Linked DNA regions of Coturnix japonica. Each later gene encodes a partner of the first gene's protein in a complex. Links are inferred from orthologs where the notes say so. Each region holds a gene or a part of one and is shown on either strand. Other genes may lie near its edges.

What was found.
Region 2: the proteins of COP1 (region 1) and TRIB1 are in contact, whole or in part, in a crystal structure (PDB 5IGQ), measured with the Homo sapiens proteins. The link is inferred for Coturnix japonica from reciprocal best matches to the Homo sapiens genes COP1 and TRIB1. Residues at the interface, in NP_071902.2 of Homo sapiens: Ile423, Ser425, Val441, Lys472, Tyr491, Trp517, Asp534, Ala556, Asn557, Cys559, Ala576, Asp577, His578, Lys600, Ala601, Ser603, Thr618, Lys643, Asn644, Phe645, Phe699; in NP_079471.1 of Homo sapiens: Asp355, Gln356, Ile357, Val358, Pro359, Glu360, Tyr361.

What each region holds. Positions count from the first base shown.
Region 1 is NC_029523.1:4,927,735-4,934,436, reverse strand, and holds part of COP1 (E3 ubiquitin-protein ligase COP1), read left to right. Parts: intron 1-2,873; coding exon 2,874-2,988; intron 2,989-6,370; coding exon 6,371-6,506; intron 6,507-6,702. UniProt on the Homo sapiens protein: E3 ubiquitin-protein ligase that mediates ubiquitination and subsequent proteasomal degradation of target proteins.
Region 2 is NC_029517.1:125,152,954-125,160,099, reverse strand, and holds the start of TRIB1 (tribbles homolog 1), read right to left. Parts: upstream 4,905-7,146; 5' UTR 4,594-4,904; coding exon 4,237-4,593; intron 3,977-4,236; coding exon 3,684-3,976; intron 2,170-3,683; coding exon 1,701-2,169; 3' UTR 1-1,700. UniProt on the Homo sapiens protein: Adapter protein involved in protein degradation by interacting with COP1 ubiquitin ligase. The COP1-binding motif is masked by autoinhibitory interactions with the protein kinase domain.

The DNA.
Region 1 (6,702 bases):
AGGCTGTTGTTTATGTGTTAACTTGTGTCTTAGGAGCTCTGTGTGCTGCCACTAGAAATATTCAGGAACTGGCAAATGAACTGGTGGAAGTGCTGCTGGATTTTATTTGATCAAGTAACTGACATCAAGAAAAAGCACCTACATTTTGAGCTTGAGTGCATATGCAGATCACTGTTTGCAGCTGTATAACTTATTAGTAATGAGAAATTTTTCTCCATCTGTATAAGAAAGCTTGTTATTCCTTCTGCTGCAGTCTGTGGGGTTTTTGCTTAAGCAAAATGTTGCAGCTCTACCTTACTGTAAAGGGCACATGAAATGTTCATGGGGATTTTAAGTTCAGGACTGATACGGTATCGTGTTTGTTCCCTACTGACGTTGCTTGTCTTGGTACTTTAATTTTTCCTTTGAAATGGGGAAAAAAAACACCATAGCTGTACTGCACAGAACAAACAACCTAGATTTTCTAGTCAGCCTGTATGACAGTCAGATTTGTTTGAGATTATTCTTTTTGTCCTCCAATCCAATTTCTTTGTCCTTGACAGTGCAGGTTCTATACTCTCTAGTGCAAATTTACTAATCAAACTTTAATGCATGTTTGGATGGAGAGCGGAGAGAGGAGTCTTAAACATTTCATTCAAAGGGTAGTCTCATTTCAACGCGACTTCACAGCTAAAAGTTTTTCTACAGTAAGAACATTTCTAAGAATTTAAATGCAGTTGCACACTTTAAATTGTCAGTCACAACAGAAATCATAGATTTTTACAGCTGGCAGTGTGTAACTAAACTAGAAGGGACAGCATAGCTTGCTTTCACAGTGCGATTACTTTTTGCACTGCTTGCAAATGTGTTCTTAAGGAAGAATTCATGTGCCCTGAGCCATAGGACAATTTTCTTGCAGAGGCTGAGCTTCAGTAGAAAACAGTGGACAAGTTGCATAGGCACTGGGGAGCTCTGCAGGTAGTGTTTAGTTGCAGCACTTGGCTTTTCTGCTGGAAATGAGGAGCTTGTGAGCAGCTGTGAAGGTTTCCCACAGTTGTTTGAGAGGACTCTTTAGGGCGCCTACTGGACTTCAGACAGAAGAATAATTCTTGCTAAGAGTAACCCTAACTATCGTTCTCAACTGGAACAACACTGATAGCATTTTCATATTATAGTGAGCGGTTGAATGAAAGGCACTTGGGTGTGTTTTCTCTCCTATGGCCTTATTTTTTTCCACTCCTGTTTCCTAGTGTTGCTTAACAACTAGCCATCAAGCAGTCTTCTCTGCTTAGAAGCTCAGTAAATGTTTTGATTAAAAACTCAAGCAGCTTTAAACCTCTTGCTGCTGAGGCTTAGCACAAGGTGCAGTCCAGTTCCCAGCACAGCTGGGTCACCAGGTGCCAGTCTGAGGCTGCATGGAGGGAGGAGTTGTCCTCTGCTGATGTATTGTACTTCAAATCACTGATGCTTACCTCCACGTGGACTAGACACAACCAGCAGATCAGAGCCAGGCATGGCTTGTATCCCTCATTGTGTCACAGGTTTGTTTGTCTTAACAAGTGATTGCTCCTTGGTGCTTGAGTCACTTTGAGCCCTCATCACTTCTGATGTGCAGAGAGAGGCTGGGGTGCAAAATTAGGGGAGTGGTGCTGTAAAATGTTCCATCACCTCTCTCTTTAAGCTGTGAAGCTTTTGAAAATTGTATTCAAAAGTTGTTGAGGTAGGAGTGCTTTCCAGCACTGGAGATGTGTTCTGAGATTGGAGCCGCTTTCAAGATGAAACAAGCTGTCGAGCTATGAGTCGCAATGTCAGCACATAGCCAGGGGCCTCGCACAGGAAGTGGCATCTGGAAGTTTCATTGCTCGGGGTATGTTTCTTCCCTTGAGCGTTAAGTTACTGTTTGTACAGTTACAAGCAGAATCTCAAAGTAGGCTCTAAACTTTGTTTATTCTTGTTGGCTTCTTGACATTTGCAATGAGAGCAGCCCCATTCTGCCTCATGATTTGAGGGGGAGTTGAACCTGTGTTCTTCGTGGCATGTGGGTTTTGTTAGTGCTTGAGAGGCGTTGTACACCTTGTGTGTGTTCAGGAGTATTGTGCCCTAAGAAATGCTCATTGCGGAGCCTGTTGGTTCTTTTAAAATTCCCCCATTATCTCTGAGTGATGTGTGAGACTTTTGAAACACAAACAGAAGCGAGATGCTCTTCATGCTCCTTGTGCAATAATTTGTTCCTTTCACTAGTGATTGAAACAAGAAGTACTTTGTTTTCCATTTGTTTTCTAAGGGAGAGCTTGCTTATGTAGTTTCAGTCCTTCTCCCTCAGCATTGATGCCTGTGTGGGTTGGGAAGTGGTGGTTTTTTGTGTTTCATGGACTTATTTTCAATTAACCTTTGAACTTAGTCTCTTAGTGTATTCCTGCTTCTTTCCTCACTTGTTTACTTTTATAGGTACTGAGTTACTTCAGAAGGAATAATTCACTGACTCCTTAAACAGCCCCTACTCTTTATGAGTGGTTTGCTAGAGATCTAGGAAGTGATTCTTGTACAGTCCATTTGATTTGGGAAGTTGAAAGGCTGTATGTTGGGCCTCTGCTGTCTATCTGCACAAATGCGATGCATGGCTCCCCATGGGTTGCTGCCATCTGTCCTGTGTGTAAAGCTGAGCTTGCAGAGATTGAGAAGACTGCCATCTAAAAGCAGCTTTTTTGCTTCTCAGGTTAGAAGGTGCAATGCAAGGCCCTAGTCATGAGTGGATAGATATTCTTCATTGTCACTGTGAAATTCTGACTCACCAGATGATACAGTGAATAAATTGTATTTCAGTTTCTTAGAATCTATTGAAATAAAGCCCAGACTTGTCTTTTCCTCTCTCAAGAAGCATTTTCTCCATTCAGGCCAAAAAGCAGCCGTGGTATAACAGCACGCTCGCCTCACGACGGAAGCGGCTCACAGCTCACTTTGAGGACCTGGAGCAGTGCTATTTTTCCACAAGGATGACACGTGTCTCAGGTGAGTTCCTCCTGCTTGGTGTTCAGCTTTTGACATCATTTACTTCTCACAGTCCCGCTTCTCAGGAAAGCTTCACTTTTAAGAGACAAGCCTTTGTTTTTCCCTGCCTTGAGAAACACTGCTATACATATGCATATATTTCTTCAAGTCACCTTGTGGAGATTTTTCATGACCAGTCTTTGAGGTTTTTAAGCTTATAAAGTATAATACTATTGTTTCAGAGCACCACATATGTTGCTCTGTAATGCTGTACTATGAAGGTCGTAACCACTAAATAGTTTTTCTCTAATCTTTGTTCTGAAGCTGCGGTGGCTGGGTAGTTTTTCTTCTAGATGTGGAAAAAGCACAGTCATTAAAACACTTATCAAAATACTAAAGAGGTGAAAACACGTTGATAAATGTTACTATATTTAATGTGCGGTACAACACTTGGAGGTTATCCTTTGTTGTCCAGATTGTGAGTCTTGGTTAACAAATGGCTTCAAGTACAGAAGCTGAGTGTGCAGCAGCATCATTATCCCATGGGGCACACCTTAGATTTAAGACTTGTTTTGTAGAATTAGAAGCTGTTTTCACAATTGCCTGGATTGCCTCATTCATAATTGAGTAACAGTGTGGCAGCAGCTAGAGTAATTGTTACATGGTGGATGGATGGTTCTTAATTATATAACGATATTCTCTTTGGAAGCGAACAGGTCAAACGGATGCCTCTTAAGGGAGAGGAAGGTCGCTCTCTGGCTCTCATGGGGAACAAGCAAGCTTTGGGGAAAAGAAGTTTAGTGCAATGGGCTGTGGCAGGCAAGAGATGTGCAGCACCAAGCTGTGAGCAGCAGCTTATACAAAGAGGGAGAGAATGCAGCAAAGAGCAGGTTGAGGGGAGCCTCAGAAGCACAAAAATAATGCAGGCAGGGGCTGCTGCAGCAGAGCATCTTTGCTTATAACCTTGGAAGGCAAGGACTAGCATGCCAGGATACAGATCAGCAAGCAAGCTGGGTCACAAATCCCTGCTCCTCTGTTAATTTGAGGTTTGGCTGCCTAAACATTTTCCAGCTTTTGAAAACTATTACTAATAAACAAAAAAAAATGTGGCCTTTTTATGTTCAAAGACTGCCAAGTGTTGTAGGAGAGCTCACTCTTGGATGGAAGATGCGGGCATGTCTGTTTGGGAGCAGTGGCTGACTTGGGTCCTGTCATGCCCAGCAACACAGTTCTAACAATTTGTGGCATGATGGGCTGCAAGATGATGGGAGAAGGTAGTTGTGTGTGACCAGCCAAACTCCTGTGAGGTGCTTGTAATGTTCTGCAGGCTGCAGTACTTCACAGATTAGCACAGATATTTCCATGTGTGCTATCTTGGTGATACGGAGCTGTGTTTTTGTTAAAATAATACGTTTATTAGCTAAGGATAACAAATTGGACTTTTCCCAGCATTCCCTTGTTGAAGACATTTTTCTTCATAATTGGAACTATAAATATGAATGCGGTGCAATTGTGCATTTTGTTTATGTGTATGTCAGCTGCACCAAAAGTAGAGGATTTGCTACGGCTGTTTTTGCCCTAAATAAGGGATAACCTGTAATGCTTAATTAGATTTTCTTCTCTTCAAAGTCATTCCTGCTTTTTGACACATTTTAAATAGGATTTAATATGGATATAAGGGGTTTATTTGCAAGAGATGCCTGAAAATCTTCTAGTAAGGAGCAGAGCAGTAATACAGCTGGAATTATGAAATGGCCTCGTGCTTTGACGAGGAAAATGTCTTGAGAAATAACATCCCGTTTTGCAGACATAGATGCAGAATAAATTACAGGAGGACTGTGTGCTTGATCTCTAAATGAGGGAAATGGAAGAGCAGCAGCTATTTGCTCCTATTAAAGTGTCAAAGGAGGAATCGGTCTTTGAAAAATACTTACTGATGTTTATGTGCTGCCTCTCGAGTTGTTTTCTTTAGTGGTCAGGTGCTGAGGGTTTAATTTAAAGCAGTGCTTTGTTCATTCTGATCTATCTGACATGAGTAATGTACCCATGGCTGTACCCTAAAACACGCTTATTACTGAACTTTGCTGTTTCTTTATGCAATCAAACATGAAACAGCTTGCAGGGGACACTTCAAAATGCCCTATGGTTACAAAGCAAGATAATTTCTGATGACAAGGAATTACCATGGTGCAGAAATGTTAGAAATAACTATTGCAATTTTTCTCCTTTTTTCACCCCAGTGTTTCCAAAGACTTCCAGTAAGTTGAGTTATATCACTTTCTTACGCTATTGATAAGGGAAGCTTAACTGTGGTGTAAATTAGCGACCTCGGCTGCACAGGCAAATGATGTGTACCTTTCTGCTGCTGCAGTGGGTGCTGTGGTTTAATAAAAGGCAAAGTATTCAGTAATGTGACTTGCATACTGGACTACCTGCAATCCAGGGTGCTGCATGTCAGAGCTGCAAGGAAGGCAAGGGGGAATTGCTGCAGATTCTGGGGGTTGCTACAAAGCCTGAGGGCTCTGCCTGATGTTTGACTGCCGTTGCTTGATCACATTAGGAAAGCTGGCTCGTCCATGAGACATGGCTGTAAGTTAGGAATTCTTCCTTATATAGGAAACTCTAAATTTTGAAATGGTTGAAATAAAATTCCTTTAGTACCGAAGAAAGTTAAGACTCGTGAGGTTTCGGGGAATCATTTTTAGCCCTCTGTACTGTAATTTACTTTTAACGTTTGTAGCGAACTGTTCCATTTTCCACAGAATATTCATCATTATTATTCACGCTGGCTGAATTTCATCTTGTCTGCTGAAGGTCATAATTTCACAAAACTTACAGCACATGGAGTCTGTTGGTTTCATGCTTGTCTCCTTTCTCTAGCCGTGAAACAGCTCTCCCTCAGCTCTGTTGCTTTTGGAGTAACAAGAGAAATACTTCTTGCTACAAGTTTTTTGAGTGTAATTGACACCAAATGTAGGCATATTGTACCTGAAGTACAGTTCTGGGGGAAAGGAATATATTTTTCACTTCCATAGAATGCTAGACATTCTTTACAGTGCAATTTGATGTGCTTAAGGCTTTTCTGTTAATAAACCTTATGGCCCGTAGGCTTTGAATTTGACTAAAATAAGTGAGCTCATCTATCAGGAAAGCGTATTTATGATCTCTAGGCAGATTCTCAATGCAGTAGGTTCATTGGAAGGACTTAATTTATGCTCTGAAAATCCTGCTGCCTTGAGGGAATGCCAAAAAGATGAAAGAGAGAACCTATTTTTGACCAAGAATCCTCCCCAAATAGCAAGCAGAGGTGGTAACACATGAAGACACGCATCATGTTTGCCGTTGTGTTTATTTACTTTCTTATTCATTTTTCACCCTCTGCAACTCTTCCACCTCTCCCTAGATGACAGCAGAACCACAAGCCAGCTGGATGAGTTTCAGGAGTGTCTATCCAAGTTCACACGCTACAATTCTGTCCGGCCCCTGGCAACGCTGTCCTATGCTAGTGACCTCTACAATGGCTCCAGCATAGTCTCCAGGTGAGAAATTTGGTGGCTCTAGCAGTGCATTTCGTGGTGATACAGGCTGCTGAGGCAGAGCTCATTGCTTGTACAGATCATAATTTGTTTAATACATGTGTAACACTTTGGCTACACCAAAATAATTTTGTGATGAACATGTGGTTATCATCGGTCTGTGAATGTGCTTAAGAGTCACAGTAGTACCTTTTCTGCC
Region 2 (7,146 bases), on another chromosome or scaffold:
TCTACATATTTACAGGTTGGACATCATAGTGTTTTCAGCTTTTCTAGCAGATTTTTCTACCAATATATACAAATTCACTGTTCTTTTTCAGAGAAGGGTTAAACTGTATCACAGATACAAATGTCAAGCAATCATGAGAGGTTTAGTGCAACGGAGAGCTGTAGTGCCCTGCTCTTAATGCTCATGATTCTGTCAAGTTAGTATTGCCAACAATAATTCACATTAAATTGCTCTTTGACACCTCTTATTAGGACAAAGTACAATGGAACGAAACATAAAAAAGCCCAACAACAACAAAACGACCCCCCCACACGTAAGGTATGTACAAAGTACACAGTCCATGAGGTATACATGGTATTCCCGCAACGCGCAGGCAGCTCAATGCCAGACCACCCCAGGGATGACCCCATTGCCCACCTCACATCCATCGGGCACTGTGCTCTCTCTAATGCAGATGGCCATCTCTGTGTGAGCCACTGGGCACAAGGTTTGGAATAGAGGAATCTGAGGCAGGGCTAAGCTTTACTTACCCCCAGCCTGGGGAGCTAATGATCCAGGTCTGTTTGTTATCCACACACACTGGAAAGACTATGAATAATCATGCAAAACAAAAGAACAAAATTTAAGGGGGGGAAAAAAAAACAAATCCAAAGGTAGGCACAGGCCAACGACATACCTGAATAATCAACTTAAGGGCGTATAGAGATTTTATTCTTAAGACTGACTTTCTAGGAGCAAGGGGGGGAAGAAGAACTGAGCCTGTAGGAAGACGCGAACATGTTTACATATACTGTACAAGATGCCCCTTTCTGCTGTCCAAGGGAAGGTGCCCTCCTGATAGTGTTATGCTTGGGGAAACGGATACGTTTTGGCACTGGGAGCTGAGACCCGCTGCCTGACCAGCCTGCTGAGGGCATGAAGTCGCACAGGACACACCGCGGTAACTTGAGGCTGAAGGCTATTTGAAATGGTTCTGCATTCAGCAAATGGCATCGGAGGGGATCCAGCTGGAGATCAGCTACATCCCCCTCCCCCGACCACAACCATGTCAGAAGGGTCCCGGCAGTGATCACAGCAGGGATCTCTCTTAGGGGAGGATCTGATAGCTTCATCCCTATGGAAATAGGGCTGATTGGGGCAACGAGCAGGCAGCTGGATGTGCTGATGAAGACCTCCTTCCCTCACTAAAGTGCACTTACATTCAGAAAACTGCTTTGCAAGACACCGAGTCAATTCCCCCAACTTTAAAACAAATGAAGGGAAAAACAAAACAAAAATACCTAATTTGTCAGATTTGCTCAGTTAGAGAAATGCCCTGTGCCCTCCACCCACTGCACATCACCGTCCATACAACCTGGGGCAAAGGGGGATGCCGAGGGCAGGCTCTGCGTCTCTCCCATTGCCAGCAATAAGACTCTGCAGCCAAAACACAGCAAGGAAGGGCATAGGGCTCGGGAGGCAGGAGCAGAACCATGTAGCTCCTCCAGGCAGCAGGACCATGCTGCCGGCAGGGCGAGCATCGAGCCTCTGTGTGTGCTCACAGCAGAGATCTGCAGGTCGACGTTCATCTGAAACAAGGTCACTTTTCTGACCATACTGGCACTTTAAGATGCTTTGAGTCTGTAATGTGGAAAAATAAAATAACCAAACCCTACGGAGATGCCAGAGGTGAGAATGGCGAGGTTCTTGAGATATCAGGGTTAGCAGAAGAAGGAACTGATATCGTCATTGTCTCCATGGTATTCTGGAACAATCTGATCAGAAGTCCCTGTCTCCTGGTCTGTATATCCTGGCTCCAGGACCGCCTCGAACCAGGGATGGAGCAGGATCTCCGGGGCTGTAAGTCTCTCGGAGGGCTCCCGCCGCAGGAGGCTGCGGATGAGGCATCGGGCTTTGGGGGAGACGTGGTCAGGAATACAGAACTGTCCGCGGCGGATTTTGGAAAACAGGGTGCTAGGGTCCGAGTCATGGAAGGGATAGCGGCCCACGAGCAGCGTGTACAGCATCACTCCCAAACTCCACACGTCGGCTGACTTCCCCGAGTACGTCCCCGTTGTGTTGAGGATCTCGGGGCTGACGTAGGCAGGACAGCCGTGTTTATCCGACAGCGCGTCGTCCTCGCCCTTGATGATGTGCGTGTCCTCCAGGCTCTCCAGCCTCAGCTGCGTCCTGTGGGGAGCAACAAGGAGAAGCCATGGGTTAGAGACATGTGGCAGCAAGACCAACTGCTCTGCACAGCGACCACCGCTCCCTTCCATGCATTAGCAAAGGAGAGGCGACAACTTCCTAATCTGCACCAGGGATGCTGATCCCAGCCCCAAGTGCAGCTACATGCACGCTCATTTGCTGGGCCGACAGCAAATGCTGGGCTCTCGAGGAACGCCAGCGAGGCTCCTGCTGCCATCCCAGCATTCATTTTCACAACACAAAGCCTGGCTGTTCTGCACTCTCGGCGCTCACCAGCTTGCTCAATCCCTATTTTCTCCCTTTTGCCTTTCCAGGTGGTGCCCTGCTCCCGGTAGTGGCAAACCGGGAGCTTCCCACCAGCAGCCACGGCTCACGTGCCACAGGGATGTGCTAACTGCAGCCTGTCCTCGGCGTGACCTCCCGCTGCAATGCAAAATACCCATCGGTTCTGTAAACGGAAAATGTGACTCAATGCGAACCGTGGGCCCAGGATTGGCCGCGGGAGCACTGAAACTGCACCTGTGCTGGTGAGCCCCAGCGCCCGCCTGCCATTGCTTAACCCTCTTCTTGCCAAACGCAATGCACATGACACTCGCCTGTGCAACGCCAATTTCCAAACGAGCCGGGCTGTGTGCAATGTAACATTTCAACAAATGTTTCATCTCACTAGGGGCGGGAAAAGCTGCAATAGTTTCCTTCAAAGGAATTACTTTCTTTGCATGTCAACATACGGCTGTTTCTGTTTAAGAGGTGCAGTTCTGGTTCGTCGTCTTATCACCTTCACAAACGATATCCCACAGAAGCAGTTAAAAAAGAAAACCAAACACAGCGGTTCCTTCCGTTTCGTCGCATTAAGCACGACCCCATTGCAGCCTGTGCCCATGTTTTGAGCTTCCTACAGCACAGCAGCCACTCAGGGTCAGTTCCCGGGGCTGACACCGCACTCCCAGCCCTGCCACGTGCAGCGCAGTGCACAGAGCAGCCAGCTCTCCAGGGAGACACTGAATGCTTCGCCTCGGTCTAGATTTAGAAGCTGATCCCAGCAGCGTGCCAGCAGATGGGGGAAGCTGGAACCACCTTGCCATAACTCAGGCTTTAGGTTAAGTTCTACCAGTTTTCCCCTCTGCAGGACATTTAACCATGGACCGCCCTCTGTGCCGTGCATGCCCATATCCATGGAGCAGCAGAAGCACTGCCACCAACGCGGAGATGCTGAGCAGCACCGTGCTGCCCTCATTCCCTCCACATCCCATCCCTTCATCCATTTGACCCCAAAACTCATCCATCATCACCAAGACCCAACTGACTCCCTGTGACTGCCTCACTGAACTTCTGCTGGAAGAGGGGAGGCTGATGGAGAGCTCCTCAGCCAAGACCCAACCACAGCCAGCAGGCGCCCCACTGCACACACGGGGCACAGGTCCACCCTGTTCCTGGGATGCTCTTTGCCCTTCTGAACCAGGCTTCCCCCCACCTGCCCGGTGACAGCCGCTCACCTCTCCTCGTTGGAGAAGACAAACTTCCTGAGCTTGAGGTCTCCGAGCACGATGGCCGACTGGTGGCAGTGAGCGACGGCCGCCACGATCTGTCGGAAGAGCCGGGCGGCCTCCTCCTCCCTCAGCCTCTTACAGCTCCGCACGTAGGAGTGCATGTCCCCAAAGTCCTTCTCAAAGAACACGTAGGCCTTGGTGTCCCCGAGGATCACCTCCACCACGCCGGTGATGTTGCAGTGCGAGGGCAGCTGGACGTAGGGCCGGATCTTGTCCTGGTAGTGTTTGAGAGGGAACACCTGCACAAAGGAAACGAGCACAACGTTCGTTCTCGAGGGCGTTGGGAGCGGAATCGCGTCTAGAGACTCTTTGCAAACAATGCCGGGAATGGAGGAGCGCCAGCGCGCTCGGGAGCGGCACCGGGAGCCTCCCCGCGGCTCCGCCGTTCGTTCCGCACGGACGACGGGGAGCACAAGCCAAACCGACGGAAAGCACGAACCGCCCCGAAGCCTTTCGTCCCCTCTCAGCCCCCTCCGAGCCCGCACCGCCCGGCGCTCACCTTGCAGCGGAGCTCCCGGCCGGAGCTGACGCTGAGCGCTCGGGACACCTGCTCGCGCTCGGCCAGCGGCAGCAGCAGGTACGAGGCGATGAGGCTGGGCCCCGCCGTGCCCACATTCCCCGCCGCTCCTCCGCCGGCTGCGGGCGAGACGGGCGCGCAGGGCGAGCCGGGGGCGCTCAGGCAGTCCGGGGTTCCGCCGGGACACTCGGCCAGGCGCGGGCACTTGGCGGCCGGAGCCTCCTCGGCGGGGCCGTCGTGCAGCGGCTGGAGCCGCTTGGCCGGGGCGCTGCGGCAGCGGGCTGCCGGCAGGAGGAGCGCGGCGGCGCGGCGGGGCGGCGGCGGAGCGGGGCGGCTCATGGGGGGCGCGGAGCGGAGCGGGGAGAGGAAGAAGAGGAGGAAGAGGTGATGGTGGAGGGCGAGGTGAAGGAGAAGAAGAAGCGGGGCCGGGGGCTAAGGGCGGGCGGAGCGCGGCTGGCGCATCCCCTCGCTGTCCCCGCCGCAGCCCCGGGCCGTGTCCACCATCTGCTGCCGACTCCGCGCTAAAGTAGTTGGAGGCTTTAAAAAAAAAAAAAAGCAGTTTTCTCCTCCTCCTCCCGGCCCTGACGCACGGGGAAGTGGGAGGAGGGAGCTCGGCCCGGCCCCGCTCCGCTCCGCCCCGCTGTCCGCCCGCCCCGCCGTGCCCCCGAGCTGCACCGTGCGATGCTCCCGGCCGCGCCCGTCGCTCCGGGACGACCCCGACCCCGACCCCGGTTGCGGAGTTCCGGCGGCCCCGCGCTGCTCCCACGAGCGAAAGCGAAAAGCGGAGCCCGGCTCCGTCGCCACGAGGCTCCTCGGGGCGATCAGCCCCCGTGAAACCGCGTCCCCGGCAGCCGGCGAGGGGCAGCTGTAGGGCGGGGAGCCGGAAAGCAAGAGAGAAACGGGCAGCAAAGCGAACAAGGAGCGGGGAGCCGCAGTGTTAGCGCACGGCCGGCTCTTCAGTTCACATCGGTGCCCGTTCCCAGGCGCTCGGCGCTGAGGTTTCCCCGTGCCGCTCCCGCAGGCAGCGCCCGGCGCCGCCGTCAGCGCTCAACGTGTATTTTAAGAAACGCGTGAAACCGTGCTGCTGTGTGAGTCACGGCATAGCAGAGCCATTAATGCGTTTAAACACAAAATGCATCTGCCATAAAGGGATATCCCAGGGGCTGCATTTTCCTTTCTTTGCCTTTATATATATATATATATATTTTTTTTCCTTTACCAAACAATTCGAAGAACGCCTGCAGATTTTTTCGGAGCGATTCACTGCAGCTCGGAACGCGCTGTTGTATTTTGTTCCCCTTATAGGCAAAGCACGCACGGAGCCATCAGCACTTCTGCTCCGTGTTTCCTCTCCTGGAAGGCTGCGTCCCATCAGTGACGTCCCATCAGTGATGAGTCCCATCAGTGATGTGTCCCATCAGTGACGTCCCATTAGTGATCAGTCCCATCAGTGATCAGTCCCATCTGCAGAAACGCTCATTGAGTGTCATTGTACATCAGTGGGTGCCGTTTTTTCTGCATGGAGTTGCTCAGTGACACACCTCTGCTTCACACGCACTTCCATGTCCGATTCCATTCAGCCCCTCTGCTGCCATCTGTCCCATGGCAACAACACAGAACTGAATACTGGTGGGAAGGCTCAACCACTACTGCCCCATCACCAGCATCCACCTCTGACACTGTGGGCCGTTATAAAATAGGAGGCACGACCTTCAGAGCAGCCCTCCTAAAATACACAATATTATTAATCTGTAAATAATAAAACATTTTAATATTTAATATTCCCATATCATCCATTTTGATGACATGAATAAGGTGTGATTGTGAAGCGAGGGATGTTTCTGGTAAGAGGGATTAGGAAACTCTGGCAAAGAGACATGATCAGATCTTCAGGTTCCATATTTGACTGCAGCTCCCTCATTCCACGTATGCCTCCATCTTTGTAGCACGGGACAAGGGGCTTGGTGGTCATTTCTGACCTCAGTGGTTCCGTGATGTTCATTTAAAGCCATTCGCCCTTGTCCTGTCACTACCTAAGTGTTCCCTAAGGGGACTTTGGGCATTGCCGTTCCATTCCCGTGTTACTTAAGGAATTCTTCTCCCATGGCATTCCAGCATCTGTCTTAGGTTTGGCAGTGCCCGCACTGCGAGCTCAGCTGCTCGCCCTGTGATGCGCAGTTATCTGTCTCCACTGCTCCACTTCTCTGACCCTTTATCTCTGTAACTGGAGCAGCCAGCAGCAATGGGAATTGTGTAACCATCACCCCACTTCCCCAGTGCCTGGGACAGGTCTGGTTTTCTGTCAGTGTATCCCATGGGATACGCAGAGGGACCCTGTTGGATTGGGCCATTTATAAATAAACCGGCTGCTTGCTATGGGAAGAAATTAATAAGTCATTGTGTTAGTTATCGGAAGATGCATGACACACCAGTACTTGAGTGAATATTAAACTATCAGGCAAATATTAAACTATCAGAAAAATAAATACCATCGCATTAAGAGCTATTTCAAGACCTCTGATGACATTTACACAACTGCTGGACTTAATGCCAGCAGTGTAAACCCAGCAGCCAACACATGGTCTGCTGCAGAGCTGCTGTACAGAATCCCCCGGCTCAGAAAAGGCTCCAAGTTGTGTGCTCAGGTGATAAAGAACTAAAGTCCCATTTTGGGGCAAGAAATCACACCTGCGGTAATGCTACCATCAGCCTTACACACTGCGACATTCAGTGGTGGATTCAGTGCTGAGATATCAAACACGTGACAAGAGTGCAATGACATCAAAGGGACTGTAGTGTGATGGTGTTCAGATGCCTCCCCTCGAGCCCTCCCACAGGCCAGTCTGTTGCTGGGATATCTACATAATTCCCTTTTGACAAGCTCGTTGTTAT